2 linked regions of the Diceros bicornis minor genome follow. The protein of the gene in region 2 interacts with the protein of the main gene of each other region in a pairwise test. Links are inferred from orthologs where the notes say so. Each region holds a gene or a part of one and is shown on either strand. Other genes may lie near its edges. The genes, in order: DEUP1 and TBC1D22B.

Region 1 (9,730 bases), on a different chromosome or scaffold from region 2:
TGGCAAAGCCCTTTGGGGTTCCAGCTTAAAGGCAGAGAGTAGTCATTGACTCCCTTCCTGGGGTGAGCCCAGGCTTTGTCTTTTGTCCCTTTTGTTTCACAAGACCACAAAAACTGCTGCTCAGTTTTTCTTCCAGAGCATCAAATACTTCCCAGGCAAAAGCAGAACTAAATGGAGGGCCCACTTCTCCGGGTTCTTGCCTTTTGCTAGATTTTGACCCAATAATTTCTCACTATCCTATTAGCTTGAAACCTAAAAGGTTTTAACAGAGATGAGCTCTTGGAAAGAGTTGACCTATGGCTCCAAATTTGTTTTCTCCACTGGGGACCTGTCACTTCAGCATTGCCCGCACCATGCCTGATTCCAGGAAATAAGCTATTCCATCTATGAAACTTTAGCTCAGGACTGTACAAAATCTTTGGTTCCCCTAAATATCCAAGAGAAGATGACATTTTCAAAACCACAGTGCTGAACATTAAGGGTTTATAAGAAGGACAAGTATAGAAAAAAAATCATGATAGCCGTTTTCCAAAGAATTGGGTTTTGTTTTCTGAACCTAAAATGAGACCTGGTGTTTCTAATTCCCAACAAGAAGCCGTACTACCTTGGCACCTGGGCCCCTGGCCAGCCAGGACTCAGAGGTAAGGCCCTCCCAACTAGTCTAAATTCTCTTTGCAGAAGCAGCCTTTACTAGGAGAATTGACAGGACTGTGAGTCATGATGCAGGGAAGGCCTCACTCTGCCCCACTAAGGACCCCAGTTATGCATTTCTCTTCAGATGCCCAACCCCTCTCCCAACCCAGAGAAAGTTAATGAGGATTTTGAGGGAGGAGATTTTCATAGTCCCTCTCAAATCACACCTACATAATTTAGAATCTCTCTCATTGCCTCACCCTTCTCTCACTGCACAACCCTACTTAATGAAGAGCTTTAGTACTCTGACCAGGCACCGGTATTCTAGGACTGCACTGTCCAATATGGTAGCCACCAGTCACATGTGGCCATTGACACTTGAATATGGCTTTATGAACTGATGGTGCTGTATGTATAAACCACACAACAGATTTTGAAGATTTAGTATGAAAAAAATGTAAAATATCTCAATAATTTTCTATATTGTCTACACGTTGAAATGATATTTTGGATATATTCGGTTAAATAAATATATTATTAAAAGTAACTTTACTAGTTTCTTTTTACTTTTTGAATTTGCCTACCAAACTATTTAAAATTACATAAGTGGTTACATTATACTTCTATTGGACAGCACTGCCTCTAGAGTGACCTTGGTTCTAAAGACTGAATCTCCTCTTCCTGAATGGTTATTCTCACAACTAGAAAATGTATTGAAGTATCTCCAGAAAATTCCTTAAACTTGCTTCCATTTATAGAATTAGCATGAAACAATAAGAAAAAAAAAAAAACCTAGATTCTAATCGTTATTTGTGTCATTAACCAGCAATGAAACTGGTCAAATTATTTTAACTCTTTGGGTCTGAGTTTCTTTATGTAAAAAGAAGGAGTCAGACTAGGTCCCCTCTATGGTTTCTTCCAATTCTATGATTATATTATTATTATTATGTTAAAAAAATTTCTAAAATATTTTTCATGTATAAGATAGACTTAGCTTTTCATTGTAATGTATATATAATTTTGAACCTTCTTTTGAAAATGATAGAAAAATAGATATTTCCTTGTTGATAAAACGACAGACATCAAGCTAATTTATATAACCTTGCATATGTTAAAGCTGCATGTTCATTTTCTGTACTACTGTTATAAATTTTGCCATGAAAACTGTTTTGTTAATGAAGGTTTTTCATTTTTTAAGGTTCAGTCTATGGCTAAGATTATTATTTATTCTATATAATTGGTCCCTTAGCTTTTCTTCCATAGATCATCCTCATTCCTCAGCCATATATGTTCCCTATACTTTCTTTTGACCATTTCTGGTTGTATTTTATATCTTATTCTGATCTTCCTGTGTCCTCCAATTCTCTTTCAGGACTAAGCTCTCTTGCCACCTCTCACTAGCACCTGGTCACACTCTTGCCCTTCTTTAGAGTCAGGGACTTTCCACTCTCCTCCTCCCTTTCAAAACAATTTCACCTGAAAAGATCTAATCATAGTCAGGTACATTTCAGGGTAAATTCAAGTCTTTGCAGTTACTTCTTACTTGGGGGGTGAGAGTTGGGAGAGAGGTGGGAGGGGTAGGTCTGTGCATTTTAAGCCTTAAGTCTCATCCAGAAATGAAAGGCTTTATTCCTATTAAATTGGAAGGGGTGTTTCTATTCTATATTTAAATTTCCTTAAAATCCATCACAGTATGTGAACTCGCACATACTTAGGCTTTGCGAGCCCTGCCCACACGTACTCTTTCTCGTGAAAATGTGGCTTTAAATACATCTACAGGTACCTATGTAAGATTCTGACTGCTAAAGAGACCTTCTCAACATTAATTTTTGGACACGTTTGAAGAGCACTTGATTTGGAGCAAGATGATCTGGGTTCATATCTTAGCTGCACTTGAACTAGATGTACCATCTTGGACAAATCCTTTATTCTCTCTAAGCCTTAGGTTCCTAATCTGCTAAAAGGAGCTATAATAACACCTGTTACACTTGTGTCACATGGTATTGCTGAGCATCTAAAGAAATAGTAAACAGCTAAGTACTTACCAATGGTAAAGAGCTTCACAGCATGAGTGATATTGGGCATCCTGAAACTTTATTAAATTTTGTTCCTAGTTTCCTTTCCCAGATCAGAACAAATACATTGACCCATTCAGTTTAGACAAGGATAAAGAATATGACTAAGGTTTTCAGAATAATGAAAACTTTCAAGTTAAGATGAAATGATCACTGTCTTCATTCAATCATAATACTAGAGCTATGAAACACGTATTAGGACTAATAACCTGAGTTACTTTACACAATTCATCTATGAAACTCAATTTGTCAAGAAACAGCAAATGGTTTCTTGTAATTCAGATGGAACCTGGATAGAGGGATTGGGGTCAGTATTAAATTGACAGCCATATTAAAGCAGCAAATTAGTGTTAATGTTATGAAAGGGGATTGCAAATAAAAGATTTTAAGAATTAAAAATTAATCGACTGGATGTATTAGGAAGGAATTCTCTTCCTAAAATAGATGCAAGAATATTATCCAAACACAAAATTCAAGTGCTTAAAAATATTCAAGGTATCAGTAGAAAAAAAAATGTGTATATATATATATATGTGTGTGTGTATGCATATGTATATAAGTATATATTCTCTCTTACCATTTCTTTGAAATCAAGACCGTGAGACAGAGCTTCTCTCATCAATTATTCTTGGAATTTGGTGAAAAAGGAAAGAATTTGGAATCAGTCACTCTGGATTCCGTCCGCGTTCCCCCACTTCGGAGCTATTTCCTTCTCCCTAAAAGGGAGGCAACTCTGTCTGCTCCGCCTAACTCGCAGAGTTGTTCTAAGGCCCCAATGCGCTGGATTGGAAAGACAGGTATAGTTGCTGCTGTTATCGCGACCAGAGTAGCTGTGCACTGAGCAATGCAGTTAAAAAAAAATCCAGCTCTTCCCAGCTGGAAGACACCTTGGTGAATAGAAAGGCAGCTCTCTTTACCCCTAATCTATTTCAAATTTTTCATACCACTTCAAACGTAGGTAAGAGGGAGGAAGGCCAGGGGGAGTTTTAAGGAACTTGGATGCAGAACCCTCCCCTCCTCCCAGCTCTTTCTATTTGCTCTTTCCTTATTTCGTTCTTTCACTCATTCAACAAATGTTTCTCCGACCCTGCTGGGTGCCGGACACTGGGCTAGACAGTGAGAGCCACGAGAGGAAAGGACCCAGAATGGGGGCTCGGGAGCCCTGGGTGTAGTGAGCAGACGCTCGATGCGTAACTGCGGGACAGCGGTGACCCGGGGAGCCCCCGCAAGGCCGCGCCCGCCGCCGCCCTCCGCCGGTGCGCCCGCTGCCGCAGCCGAGCCATTTTCCCCCCCGCCCCGCGTCCCGGCCGCGGCGAGTTCGGGCCGCGTCCCCATGGCAACCGGTGGCGGCGTGGCGGGCCGGGGCTGGCGGGGAGGGAGAGGCCACAACGGCCTTGGCGGCCGCGCGGCGGGCGGGCCCGGGCGGCGGGAGCGCGGCGGCGGGCGGCGGGGCCCCTCGGGGCGGACCGGGCTGGCGGTGACCCCGGCGATCCTGCTCCCGGGGCTCCAGACCGCTCGGGGGAGCGCGGCGCGGCGCAGGTAACCCGCCCCGGCCTGTATGACCCCGCCTCGGCCCCTGACCCTCGCCCTCGCCCTCGCCCCCGCCCCTCGGCCGGGCGGGCTTGCCCGAGAGGAGCGGGGGACCCCAACCCAAGCTGGCTGGGTTTGAACCGTGCGCGGGGTGGGGCGGGGCTCAAGGAGTCGGGTTTGGGGCCCGGGGCGCGCGGCGGGTGGACAGAGCCAGGGCTCAGGACGGTCCTTGCAGAAGCCAGAGCAGAGAGTCTTCCTAAATTAGAAGATCTAGGTTCTAGATCTTGCCTTGGGCAAGTCAGCTAGCTTGTCTGTGCCTCAGTTTCCCTGACGTTACAGTGAAGGATTTTGAGGACCTACAAAATCAATTTATTCATCTGTCCGTTCTGGTCAAGTTCTCGTTCCCCATTCCCACTCCTCGCCCGTCCTCTCCACACACAATCCCAGAGTCTTAAATTCCTTTAATTTGAAGTGACATGAGCCTGGAAATCTTTCTCCTTCTGTTTCTCCCATCTTAAATACTACTTAATTGACTTTTATTCAGTGATTCAGCGGAGTGGAAGTCCTTTTCAATACTTTGTCCATTTATCCTCATAGATTATTTTTTAATTAAAACTTTGTTGCTGGGAAAAACTTTCTTTTTACTTTGGGCAAGTACTAACATCCCTATTTTATCAAAAGGCTGAGGAGGTGCCCACAGACCCGTTGAAGAATTGTAAGATTTCTCTTTTTAGGCAATTCTTAGCCTTATCGTCTTAAATCTCATGGTATATTCATTCTAACAAAACCGGGAAAGAGCCAAAGAAAGAATGTACTCAAACAAAGGCAAACTTTTCCGGGATCCACAGAAAGGCAAGTTGGAGAACATTTAGTTGGATCTCCTGTTGAAGAGGAATTCTATTTCACTCATCTCGTGTACTGAGCACTTTGCAACATACCTGGCACCAAGCTGCTGTTCAGTAGAGTGGATGAATGGTCATTTCAGTCAGTACCACATATTTCAACTTATCGCTAAGCCAATGTCATAAATGCATGGGGGCACTAAAAAAAAGGAAAAAGACCAAATTTCTACATTTTCTAGAACCAAAGGCTACTACACTCAGAAAAACTCATACTACATGGTTTGCCAGTAGCAGAATTTTCTTGTTTTATATGTTAATAAGCATAAGCATTTAAGGACTCTAGATCATTTTCCCCCCTAACAGATTAAAAATCAAGAAATATAAACCAGGTGCAGCAGTTTCTTGACATGGAGAAACAAGCCCAAAATACAATGGGGTAAGTGCTGAGAAATTTGTATTGAATGAGTTGGTACTTAACTATGCCAAAAATTCCCTGATGATGCATGAATTTTGAAATTTAGTGTTAATAGGATGTGCCAATTATTTTCGGTGAGGAGCATGGGGGGAATTCAAGTGACTCTGATTAAGAATCTATAGTGTGAGTCTTTCCAATTTTGACTATGGATCTGCACTCAAAAATAACCATTTTCTAACTTTCAGTGCATTTTTCCAGTGTTTTATGGTGGCGGGTGCCCACGCAGGCCTCCTGTGCTCTTGGGTTTCACAGTGCAGCAGCTCCTAGCCAGGTGGCTCCTGTCTTGCTTCATCGAGTGTCTCAAGCTTCCCTCCACACTTGCCCTTAAGGCTGAACTCAACACTTAAACGTAGCCTCAAAACAGAGTTAGCTCCTCAAAACAACAAAGAACTGGGTATCAAACCAAAAGTTTCACGAAGAGATAAGGAATAGGATTTGCATAACATTTGCCATCGTAAAAAATTAAATTCCTTTTCACAAACATCTGTGCCCACCCCTTTCCTGCCAGGAGCACCACAAAGGTTTCTCATCCTATTTCATTAGCCAGCTAGCCACTGGCTGCCCCAGAGCTGGGAGGGGAGAGGGGTAGGAACAATGGGTACGGGTGGTACTATAGTGCCCAACCTTGACCGTGACTTTCAACTATTCTACTCAGAACATGACTTTGACACCAGGCTAAAGGAAAGCTGCACAAGTCTGGATAATAATAGCTATCACTTTTTAAACTCCTACTGCATACTCCTCCTTAACAACAGCCATGCTAGGTATCATTCTCATTTTACAACTAAGAAAATGAAACATATTAGTTAGAGTATAGTCTAAGCTCTTGTAACAAAGAGACCCCAAAATACAGTGGTTTAAATAAGATTGAAGTTTATTTCTGTTTCGTATACAAGTTCAGAGACAAGCAGACCAGGACTGGTAGGGCAGCTCTGCCATCCTCACTACATGATTTCCATCTCTGGACCCAAAGTGATTGCTTACGCTCCCTCCATCATGACTGTGCTTCTGCCAGAGGAAAGGGGAAAGGGCAAGAGGAAGGAGTAAGACCCTCCTTTTAGGAGTATGACCTGGAAGTGGCAGGCCTCACTTCTGTTCACTTCTCATTGGCCAGAACTTAATCCTAGAGCTATAGGTAGCTGCAAGGAAGGCTGGGAAGTGTGGTCTCTAACTGGGCAGCCATGTGGTCAATTAAAGCTTAGAAATTCTATAATAAAAGAAAGAAGAATGGATACTGGTGGACAACTAGCAGCCTCTGCCACAGAGTTCAGAAAGGTAGAAAGAAAAAGAAATAAAGCAGGCTAAGGATGAGAGGAGTAGAGTGTGAATGGGGTGATCAAACAAGGATTCCTTGAAAAGGTGGCTGGCACTGGATCTGAGATTGTGTCTGGGCAAAGGGAGTTCCAGACAGCAGGAAGAGAAAGTGCACAGGCCTGAGGTGGGCGCTTTCACACAGAATGTTTGTAATGTGGTTGAATCATGATTCTCTGACATCTGGGTTATAATAGGCTTTAATTTTAATTTATCTATGATTTCTCCCAATTATAGGTGTTTGTATTTGTGCCGTCGTAATCAACCTAAATTCCTTCTAATCAAAACAGTCATATTTAAGTGAGTTTGTTCTTTTTATTTGTTTTTAGAATGTGTGTCCAGAACATAAATAATTATAGAATGAATAAATGATCTATTTTATTGGCCTTTTTAAGAGAACCATATCTAGATTTTGCTTTGTTTTTGTTTTCTTATTCATGAATTTCTACTCTTATTAATTTGTCCTTTTATGATTTAATTTACTTATCTTATTCTTTTGATTTTTTAGTTGAAATTTGTGTTTCAGCTATTTCCATGATTTCTGGGTTTCATGATTTCTTTACATAATAAAAGCGTTTAAAGCTAAAGTTCTTCCCGCATACAGCTTTGCTGCTGGCCGTAGGATTAGTATTCCAGTCTCATTTTCTAAATAGTCTATTTTCAACTTTGATTTCCTCTTTGGCTGAAGAGATATTTAGGAGAGGTAACTTCCAGGGATGCTTAATTATCTTTTTATTGTTACTTTCTAATCCTCCTACCACCACGGTCATAGAATATGGCCTATATGATATTTCAGTTTCATTAAGATGAGTCTTGTGATCTGTTGCATGATCAACTTTTATAAATGTCCTTTGGACATTTGAAAACAAATGTATATTCTCTATTGGTTACGTAAAAGTTTAAAAAAATTATGCATATATAGTCACACCTTTTAATTGTTATTATTATGTTTAAATTATGTTTTTCAAATCCACTGTTACCTTACTTTTTGTCTATTTGATCTGTCAAATTTTAGGACAGACCTTTACTATAATTGTGGTTTTGTCTGATTCTTCTTGTATTTCAAGTAGTTTTTTTTACATATTACAGTGTTCTGTTGCTCAATGTATTGAGGTTCATAGATGTTATGTCTTCTTGGTATATTATATGATTTAGCTTTATAAAATATCTCACAAGTATAAGTTAATGTTTTTTTGTTTGAATTCTACCTTGCCTGATATTGATATCGCCAACTCTGCTCTCTTTTTAATTTAATTTAGTCTGTAACATCCTTGTTCATCCCCTTTGTAAAGAGAAAAAACTCAGTCTTTTCCTTTCTATGTAGGGAAAAACCCCATTCTTCCCTACTATGTCTTTCTTCCCTGTGTGTCTCTTTTACCTTCAAGAAGTGAAGAGAGCACTTCACTTCTGACACTTCTGGTCACCAAATGTGTGAAAGTTTTTTCCCCACCAAGCAATTCTCTGTAACACCAGCTGGTTGTCCTACAATTTAACTCAATTCTGGCACTGTCTACCTGGAGACAGCGTCAGATCCCACAGGGTAAGGCCTCAGTCCCACAAGACTGCGCCCTCCACTTCAAGCACCAGTTGCAACCCTAGGTTGTCACCTGTGCTTGTGACCAACTGGCTATAGATCTGAGATTCCAATGACCCCTCCTTGGGTTCGAATAATTTGCTAAAGCGGCTCACAGAACTCAGGGAAACACTGTTTATCAGTTTATTAAAGTATACGATAAAGGATACAGTGGAATATCCAGATGGAAGAGACATATAGGGTGAGCTATGTGGGAAGGGGTGCAGAGCTTCAGTGCCCTGTCCAGGCTTACCACTCTCCCAGCACCTCCGTGTGTTCACCAACCCAGAAGCTCTCCGAACCCCATACTTTTGGGATTTTAGGGAGGCTTCATCACATAGACATGATCGATCATTAACTCCATTTTCAGCCCTTCTCCCTTCACAAGAGAATGGGCAGAGAGACTGAAAATTCCAAGCTTCTAATCATGACTTGGTCTTTCCCGTGGCCAGTCCCCATCCAGGAGCTATCCAGGAGCCCACCTGGAGTCACCTCATTAGAACAAAAGACACTCCTGTCCTCCAGGAAATTACCAGGGTTTCAGGAGCCCTGTGTCAGGAACTGGGGTCCAAGACCCATATTAGAATAAGAAATGCTCCTGGTGTTCTTATCACCCAGGAAAATACATGGGTTTTAGGAGCCCTGTACCAGGAACTGGGGACACAGACTAAAATACGCTTTCTATGATCTCACACCCTTGTTTTCAGTCTTTTTTATGTCATATTGTGTCTCTCGTAAATAGTGTATGGTTAGATTAAAATATATATACCTCAGTTGGAGAGTCTTTGCCATTAAAAAGAGGATTTTATGATCACTAACGTTTGACCCTTTTTGCTTTCCCAACATTTGCTACTCAATCTTGATTTCTTTTTCCTCTTTTTCTCTTAGAAGTTCTGCATCTTATTTCATAAGTTGTTAATTTATATTTTTTACAAACATTTTAAATTTGGGTTTCTCTTTTGGCATCCTGAATTTTAACTGTAACTTTGGCATCCCTCAGCCCTCATAAGACTTAACCCTTAGTCTTGTCTTTGCTTCCCCGTTCCCTTATCCTACCTCCAAGAATAATCTGGATTTCTAGTTCCTGATGGCTATTAATTTATATGTAAATTATTACATATAGCATAATGTTAATTATTTTATTCTTCTTTTATTTAAGAATCCTTTTTTAACAGCTGTAAGTTTGATTGCATTGCTTATTACTATTATTTGTATACAAAATCTTCCCTGTTCTTAATTTTAAAATTTTTTTGAATTTATTTTTAATGTGACTGAAGTACTTCCTTAGGTA
Region 2 (9,605 bases):
GTGAAAAAGGCCAGTTGCAGAAGCATATGTACAATGTGATGTTATTTATAAAGTTTCAAAACATGGAAAACATGTTGTTTACGGATACACACATATGTAGTAAAAGTCTACAACATGCATGAGAATGCTGAACACATAACTCAGGATGATGGTTTCCACTAGAGAGACGGAGGGTAAGGAGATCAAGGAGGGTCAAAAGGGGACTTGAATTGTATCATAGGATTCTTTTGTTTCTTAACCTTGTTCTTATATGTTATTTAGTTTTTATTCTTTGGGGATTGGCAAACTACCACCCACGAGCCAAATTTGGTTTGCTGTTTTTGTATGGCCTGTAAGCTAAGAATGGTTTTTACATTTTTTAATTGTTGAAAAAAATTTGAAAGAAGAATACTTTGTGATGTGAAAATTACATAAAATTCAAATTTTCATGTCCACAAATAAACTTTTATTGGAATACAACCACGCTAGTTTATTTTCATATTGTTTGTGGTTGCTTTCATGTTACACCAGCGGAGTTGAGTAATTCCAACAGAGACTGCATGGCCTGCAAAGCCAAAAATATTTATAACCTGGCCCTTTATAGAAAAAGTTTGCCAGCCCCTGGTTTATTGTGTGACATACATTCCATAATAATTTAAAAAATTGTAAAGCCATTCCTGATTGCCTAGTGGTTAAAGTTCAGCACTCTCACCGCTTCAGTGGTCCGAGTTCGTTTCTTGGTCACGGAACCACACCACTCGCCTGTCAGTTGCCATGCTGTGGCGGTGGCTCATATAGAAGAACTAGAAGGACTTACAACTAGGATATACAACCACATGCTGGGGCTTTGGGGAGGGAAAAAAAAAAGGAGGAAGATTGGCAACAGATGTTAGCTCAGGGTGAATCTTTCCCTGAAAAAAAACAAAAAATCTCATTTTACTTGAATGGATAAGGGGGGGAAGTTTAAAAAAAAAAATTGTAGCATTAAAGAAAAATTCCAGAAATAAAAAGATGCATAATTCTATGATCTAACAAAATTTGCTTAATTTTTCCATGTTTTCTTCCAGTCTTTGACAAAACCCATATATTTTTATTGAAATCAGGCAAAGACATTGTGCATTCAGCTTTTTCCCCACTGTATATCATTTCATAAACTTTTTCAATGTGGTATGTAGCAAATTTGCACATTTTAATGGCATAGCATGGTTCAAATTTACAAACCACACACCATAATTTGTGTAACTACCTCCTCATGTTTAAACCTTTATATTCTTTTCATTTTCCCCCTCTTTATTACTGGCTACACCACAAAGAACATCTTTGTACACAGAGCTTTTTTTCCCCTCCTTTTGGCTTATTTCCTTAGAATAAATTCCTAGGAAAGATTCTTTCTAACCTTTCTAAAGATTCTTTCTTAATCTTCCCTCCACGCCCCAAATTCTAACGACTCTCTCTTCCTTTCTTTACTCCAATAACATCTTACTTCTTCAGTATTCCTCTTATCCCTTTGCCTTCCCTAATATAACCGATGTCTCTCATTTGGCTCTTTCTTGTGGTTGCTTAGGGACCAAAAAGTCTCTCTTGCTCTTAGATCCCAGTTTGACTTTACCATTCCTTTGGTGGTCCAACATTCTGCAGTGCACTGTGAGGGCTGTTTCTTGCTCTCATTTCTTAACCTTTCCTCTCATCACAGGGTTCACTCCACTCCTTTGCCAAGGTTAAAGTCCGCCAGTGATCTCTTTGTAACTAAGTCCAAAGACTTTTTTCTCAATTTTTATCTTCCCTATGGAACTCCTGCTCTGAAATGACTTCCCTACTGTACTTTAGGCCTTTTCTCTTTCTTTTTCTGTGTGCTTCTACACATGGTTTATCTCTCCCATAGAACTTTCTTTAAGGATTGGGATATGCCTACCTCTTTTGAGTGCACATTCAACCCATGCATAGCTCATTCCCTTAATTCTACTTTGCCCCTGTCTAAGTTGTTTTACTCTCCTTTGAATGAATATGACGTTGAGGAGGGAAAAGTTAAAAACCTGCAGGCAGACAACATCTACAGTTGTCTCGCAGGCAACAACTCTACTTACAGTTTCAAAACAATCAAACCTTTGAGATAGATTCAGGGATCACAGGTCATACTGTGCTAGTAATAGAGATTTACAAAGTGAGGTCCACAGACCAGCAGCATCAGTGTCACCCGGGAGCTTGTTAGAAATGCAGAATTGTAGCCTCCACCCCAGACCTACTGAATCAGAATCTAGGCTTTTACCATGATCTCCAGGTGATTCAGTAGGTACCCGAAAGTGTGAGAAGCACAAGTCTAGTGGACCAGAGTGCCTGCCACTACAAGCCTCCATCAAGAGTGTTCCAAGGACCCCTTGGGAACCTAAAACCAATGATTTTCACCTCTAGTTGGGCAAAGTTTGGTGTGAGGGTGATCAGGCTGCCACGGCTAACACTCCTTTGATGGACAGGGTTGATTTGATGGATCTCCTGGCTAGGTGGGTGGCCTCCCTCCCTCATCATTCTAGGTAGAGGTTCATTCCTCTGAAGTTGCAAAAGGATTTGAAGAGGACAATCTTTCTCAAGGGAGGAAGGCTGTTCTTCAACCAAGAGCTTAGGCAAGCTTATAGAATCTTTGGTAAAGCGGATACATCCTGCTGGGGATTAGAAAACATGGTTAATATCACCTTTTCCAACAAAAAATGTGCATGAACAACAGAGAACCAAAAGACAAGAATAGTTTATCCTCTTCATTCTCTCATTCAGTAAATATTAAGCACCTACTATGTGCCAAGTGCTATTCTGGGTGCTGGGGTTATAGCAGAGAACAAAACAGACAAGATACCTGCCTTAGTGGAGTTTACATTCTAGGGGATGGGATGACGACAAACAAGTACATAATATGGTAATGAGTGATAGTGCTTTAAAGAAAAATAGAGTGGTGGAGCCCGCTATTTAGACGGGTGGTCAGGGGAGGCCTCCCTAAGATGAAGAGACTTCTGAATGAAATGAGGGAGCAAGCCAACAGATATCTGGAGGAAGAGAATTCCAAGCAGAGAATATGGCTAATACAAAGGTCCCGAGGTAGGCACATGCTTGGAGTGTTCAAGGAACAGCAAAAAGGCCAACCAATGTGACTGGGGCAGATAAGCAAAGAAGAGAGTGGAACCAAATCACGCAGGGTCTTTAAGGAGCTTGGATTGTATGCCAAGTGTGATGGAGCCATTGCAAGGCATTGAGCAGAGGAGTGACATAATCTAACTGGCATTTTATTTAATTAATTAATTTATTTGCTGAGGAAGATTCTCCCTGAGCTAACATCCATTGCCAATCTTCCTCTTTTTTTTTTTTGTTTGAGGAAGATTAACCCTGAGCTAACATCTGTGTCCATCTTCCTCTATTTTGTATGTGCGACGCCTCCAAAGCATGGCTGACGAGTAGGTCCAGGCCCGGGATCGGAACTCACACCGCCTAAGGGGAGCATGCGGAACTTGAACCACTCGGCCACAGGGTCAGCCCCTAACTGACATTTGAAAAGGCTCTCTCTGGCTGCTGTGTGGGGACAGATTCCAAGGGGAGAGGAGTGGAAGCAGGGAGGCCTAACAGGAGGCTGCTGTAGGGACGTGGTTGGTTTAGATTCAGGTGGTCATGCTGGTGGTGAGAAAGGGCCCAACAATCTCAACTTCCCTCACAAAGACTATTTAAAAAGTTATCACCAGATGACTTGAGTGATTTTTTTTTTTAATCTTAGATGGCAAACTGGCTTAGATGGAGCAAAGAGGAGAAATAATAGCACTTCTCTGGGTTGAACAATGTTACCAGCACCCCCGGGGAATCGGTGTTATTTAACATTTCATAAATGATTAAGAAAAAAGAATACTTTGAGACATTTCTAGATACACAAATTATACTCTGCTTTCCACATAGTGAAATGTCAAGTCAATAGGGAGCATCTTCTGGAAAATTTCTAAAGCTATGTGAGTAGTCTGGAAAGTGCCAGGTGACTAGCTACAGGAACAAGTGTAAGACAGCTCACACAGGGGGAGACAATTCAGATGATACCTTTAAGATAATCAACTCTGAACTGCCAGTTGCCACCAAGGAAAGTGATCTAGAAATTGCTGTCGATTATCCTTTCAAGACACCAGCTCTTGTCAAGTCCAAAATGCCAGCAAAAGTTCTGGGTGGTGTTTTGAGAAAACACCAGTTTCAACAAAACCTCAGGAAACCCCTCCTGGAGTTCAGTGTGCAGTGCTGGTCACCACAGCCTAAAAAAAAAACCAGAGCCAAAGAAAGGCAGCTAAAATGACTAACAGGCTAGAGGGGCTTTTGTTTGATGCATTAAATGCCCATAAATGTGACTGAGACAAGATAAGATGAAAGTCTATAAAAGCATGAAAGAGTCAGAGAAAGTAAAAATAGCCCTTTTCATACAATCTCATGATTGTGAAATTAGGGGACAAAAGAAGCTTGAAAATGGGGGTAATGTCTATGTAGAAAGAGGCCATTGGAGGGCATATAAAAGAAGGTCCTTCTTTAGACAGGAGGTCCTTAAGCATTCTCCAGTATGTGGAAGGACATGTGGTAGCAGTAAACAGGAGTGGGGATGGGGGACAACCAGCCCACCTCAACAGTAATTTGTTGGGACAAAAACTACTCTGGACTTGGGTGTGCCCCCTGCCTCCCCCCACCCCACCCCATCACTGTGACATACAACCACAGGAACTCAGAGCAAAAACACCAAGACATGCAAAGGATTTAAATGCTAATATTAAATCCCATTCTGAGTCAAAATTAGATTGAAAATAAATTAAAGAGTGAAAGATTTATAATAGATTAATAAGGGAAATTAAGATGTTTGGGAGTACATCCTTAATCAGTGATTCATGCCATGGAGATATTCTATGTCCTTGCAAGAAATGTTACTCGGTAGTCTAAATTGGATGGATAAAATAAGAACATTCCCTAAACACTATTTGTCAGCATCTAGGTTCTTATAGTCAGAAAGTGACAGTTATTGACTGAAAGAGGGATTAGACCATTTGAACTTCACCCACGGCTTAAGTCCTTTGGCAGTGTTCAATTAGCAGAAGAGATGGAGACTCTGACGAACTAACGGTTACTCACGTGTGGAACAGTTAGCAGCCCTGGGCTATCGGATCCGTATTAGTCTTCCTTCACAGAATTAAAAAAAAGAAAAAAAATCCGGGTCCACGTAACAGAGAAGGGGAGGGTAATAACTAGAGTATAATTGAGTTGGGAGATGTTAAAAACGGGCTGCAACCAACACATAGGACCTTACTTTTAGGTCAAAGATTTATGTATATTAATACATATGCTCTCTCTTTTCAAAAAATATTAGACTCAGAAACCTCGTTCTCCCCAAGATAAATAGTATCCTTTCCTTCTTCCCCTAGGTCCCTTACTTTACCTGCCTCTTCCCCTCCCGGGCAGTGGGAACTTTCAGCCCCGCCTCCCTGCTCGTCCAAGCTCCGCCTTCCTGGTCCACCTGTGTGCCCAGCCCCTGACGTTACCGCTCGGCTTCAGCGGCCTGCAGGATTCCGGCTCCCGATTGGTCCGTCCCACCACGGTCTGCGCAGCCCACCAATGGCAGCTGCGCTGGGTTGGGGGGTGCCCACATCCAAGATGGCGCCTCCAGCAGCTGGGAGCGGGTGACCGGCGGCTTGGAAGCGGCCTGGGTTGGCCCTCCGATTGCGGGGTCCTGGGGGCATCTCGCCAGGTACCACCCCCGGCCCGCCTACAAGGCCTTCCCCGGGCCAGAGCGATGGCCGCCGAGAACAGCAAGCAGTTTTGGAAGAGGAGCGCCAAGCTGCCGGGGAGGTGAGCCCAGGACGCTGAGGGAGAGGGGATTGGACCAAACCGTTCCAGATCCTAAACCATAAATCCCGCGGGCCTGGGGCGCCACCGACCCCGGAAGGCTGGTTTGGGGAATTTGGGCTGGAAGAGATGGGGCTGCCTGGTGGCGGCAGGACAGCTGTCAGGCAGAGGACCAGGCAGCGAGCTTTGGTGATGGCTGGTTGTGGGAGCAGACTGGGGTCTGGGGGCGGAGGGCTCAGGAGGGGCTGCCCTCAGCCGGGAGGTGGCTGAAGTCCTGGGGTTAGAGACAGTGGAGTTGGATGAGTAGCCAGTGTCGGTCCTGGGTTAGGAGGGCCATCCCCAGAGCTGCTTTTCGCTTTAAAAAGAACTCCCTCTTGGTGGTCGGGGGGGCGGTCTCCACCACACACAGGTAGTTGTTTGCACGAGGATGGCCCCTTCTCTTGCTCCCCGAGCTCAGTGCGTACGAATCTTTCCCCTGGACTCCCAGGAGGTTCTGGTGGGCGCTTGGGACCGTCTGCGAGGGGACAGGAAAAGTGAGGAAAATTCCCAAGTTTGACCTAACTTTAAGTTGGTTTTTTCCCATTAGGAATTAATACAGGGTGACCCAAGAATCGAAGTTATTTCTTTAGCATTTTCTAAGGATTTATTCAACCCTAAGTGGCTTCTTCCCCCCTGCGTTGTAGTGTTCTTCTTGTGCAAATGCACTAAATTCTTTCTTTCTTCAGTTATTTAGTTGGAGAGTTGACTTTCTAAGCTTTTTTTTTTCCCTTTTTGGTGTATGTTGAGACGCTTAGCAGTTGTACATCCATCAATCTGCCGTTGATTTATAGTTTCAATTTGTTTTGGGCAGTCTTGAGAAGTATAAAGAAGAGTGTATGTTTCAGTAGTGAATTTAAGATTTCTGCCAGCTACAGTCTACTTGGTGATGAAATTCATGTTTGGTTGGGCCCCACATGCAGCCTTTACTAATTGATTCAGGCCTTATCCTCCTGGGATAATCCTTTGAACTTGTGGCCTTTTTTTCTTTTTTAATAGCAAGAGAGAAATGAGGGTCAGTGGTGGCTACAGAGCAGTCTTATTTTATTCAAGATCCTGTTAGACATATGGAGAATAGAGTGTGAATCAGCTTTTAGCAATATAGTATTAAAATAATGCAAGGCAATACAGAGATAGCTTCACATTGAAGTGCTGTGGAATTACAGTGTTAATATTACTGCTAAAGACTTCTATGTTTTTAGATAAGCATCACTTCCTGCCAACTGATTCCTTTTCCTTCCTGGTCTAGTGAGCTCTCCTCTCTCGCTAACTGCTGTTCTCTGGGGTTTTCCATGGTGAGATCATTAAATTTCAAATCCTAAGGTTATGATCAGAATCAGTGGGAAAACTGTTAAATCAGGAAGCAGTATTTGGGATGTGGGACATGGCATGGTCTTTTGTGCCTACTGATTGCTGGTTGTTATTTACAATTTTTGTTTTCTCTGTTTCTTCTTTTGGACTGTGGGAATGGTCAGCCTTTCTGAAAGCACTACTTTCGTGAGCTAGGAAGAGGAGTCTTTTTGGTTTCTTAAGTTTCTGGCTTCCTTTTTCATTTTGAAGAGGAATATAGAGGGATAATGGAGAGAACATTTGAGTTCAGAAAGATTTGGGTTATTTTTTGGACTCTCTTACCTCTGTGATCAAGGACAAATGATTTACTCAATCTCTCTAGGCCTCAGTTTCCTTATCTGTGAAATGAGGATACAAATACTTTCCACAGGGTTACCGTGAGTCCTAAATTAAACATCCTATTTGTAAAGAACCTAGGACAGTGTTTATTTAGCACATTATAGTTGCTCAATGAATACTAGTTATTAGTATTACTGTTATTATTAGAGCAAGTAAACATTTGAAAGAATGTTTTCTCAGATCCTTACCCCAGTACTATGTATTTATGTTCATTGTTTATTTTAAGGCATTAAAATGTTGCCCCAATTCATAATAGTTTTTAGTACCTTGCTTGTGGAAGAGAAGTAGTGTTCAGCTGTGTGCTCTTAGCAGGGAAAGCCCTGGGAGCCCCTGATTGTGGGAGAATACTAAAGTTCTTTTAGATAGAAAGTGCTTTGATTTAAGGAAAATGTTAGGGCATTTTCTCAAGAATAGAACTTTTGTATTTTTACTCTTTCAGTCTTAGTGAAGTAAAACTTTCTCCTGGGTGGGGAAATGACACAGATGACTGTGTCTAAGCCCATGGCAACCTAGAAGTGAAACTAGTTTACTCTGCAAATTGAAAAGTAAAAATTCAAAGCAGTAGCAGATTACCTTCAAATTCTTTGGTTACGATCAAGCAACTTTAATGACAACAAATAGGAATTATATATAGTACAATAGCCTAAGTTCAAAATGAATTAAACATCCTTTTTAAAAATAACAGCTTTATTGAGATATAATTCACATACCCTAAAAATTCACACTTGTAAAGTGTACAATTCAGTAGTATTTAGTATATTCATACTAACTGTCTAGTATAGATGGTTTTGTGCAACCATCACCATTAATTTCAGCACATTTTCTTCACCCCCAAAAGAAACTTTGTATCCATTACTAGTCACTTCCTGTCTCCCCCTCCCTCCAGTCCCTGGCAACCACTAATCTTTCTGTTTCTATGGATTTACCTATTCTGGACATTTCATATAAATGGAATAATGTGATTTGAGGCCTTTTGTGACTGGCTGTTTTTATTAAGCATAATTTTTTTTAGGCTCATGCATGTTGTAGCATGTATCAGTATTTCATTCCTTTTTGTGGCTAAATAATATTCCATTGTGTGGATATACCTTTGTTTATCCATTCATTTGGCATTTGGGTTGTTTTCACTTTTTGGGTATTATGACTAATGCTGCTGTGAAATTCGTGTGCAGGTCTTTGTGTGGATGTATGTTTTCCATTCTTCTGAGTATATGTAGGAGTGGAACTGCTGGGTCCTATGGTAACTTGATGGAATTAAACATCTTTTTAAGTTCTCTCAGTTATTCCTAAGAGCCCCATGTGCTTATTACATCAAATGGTCCTTGTGCAGATGCCTAGGAAGATAGGAGGCATGTGGTTGGGAGTGCAGGCTCTGGAAACTGGGAACCAGTAGATAAATAAGTTCTGGACATCTGATGCACAGCATAGTGATTATAGTCAACAGCACTGTATTATAAATGTCAGAGTTGCTAAGAGACTAGATCTTAATTGTTCTCACCACAAAAAGGAAATAGTAATTATGTGGCATGATAGAGGTGTTAGCTGACACTATGGTGGTAATCATATTGCAATATATAAATGTATCAAACCAACACATCGTACACTTTAAATGTACACAATATTATATGTCAACTATATCTCAAAAAAAAAAAAAAGGAATGCAGGTTTTGGAACTTGACTGCCTGGGTTCAAATCCCAGCTCTGCCACTTCCTTGCACTGTGACCTTGGGCAAGTTACTTAACCTCTCTGTGCCTCAGTCTCCTTATCTGTAAAATGGGGACAGAGTATGTGCCCCATAAGGCAGTTATGAGGATTAAATGAGATAATGCATAGAAAGTGCCTAGGAGAAACTCAGTAATATTAGCTATTATGAAAATGATAGTTGTGATTACAGTAGCTCCTGTTTTTATTTGTTTCTCCCCCTTGCTCTAGTTTCTGAAACTGGAATTGAAAAACTTTGATCAGCGGTGTGTCTGGAGCCCCCAGTGAGTCCTGAGCTCGGTGGGGGTGGGGGTGGGGGTGGGGTGGGCAGGCATCACCTGTTGTTAATTAGGCAGAGGGT

What was found.
Region 1: the proteins of TBC1D22B (region 2) and DEUP1 interact in binary tests that used the Homo sapiens proteins (3 or more experiments, as listed by UniProt). The link is inferred for Diceros bicornis minor from reciprocal best matches to the Homo sapiens genes TBC1D22B and DEUP1.

Annotation. Positions count from the first base shown.
Region 1 is NC_080746.1:40,270,031-40,279,760, reverse strand, and holds the start of DEUP1 (deuterosome assembly protein 1), read left to right. Parts: upstream 1-5,476; 5' UTR 5,477-5,487; coding exon 5,488-5,516; intron 5,517-9,730. UniProt on the Homo sapiens protein: Key structural component of the deuterosome, a structure that promotes de novo centriole amplification in multiciliated cells.
Region 2 is NC_080753.1:27,781,252-27,790,856, reverse strand, and holds the start of TBC1D22B (TBC1 domain family member 22B), read left to right. Parts: upstream 1-5,711; 5' UTR 5,712-5,764; coding exon 5,765-5,820; intron 5,821-9,605. Other genes in the region: TMEM217 (transmembrane protein 217), read right to left, coding at 5,585-5,711. UniProt on the Homo sapiens protein: May act as a GTPase-activating protein for Rab family protein(s).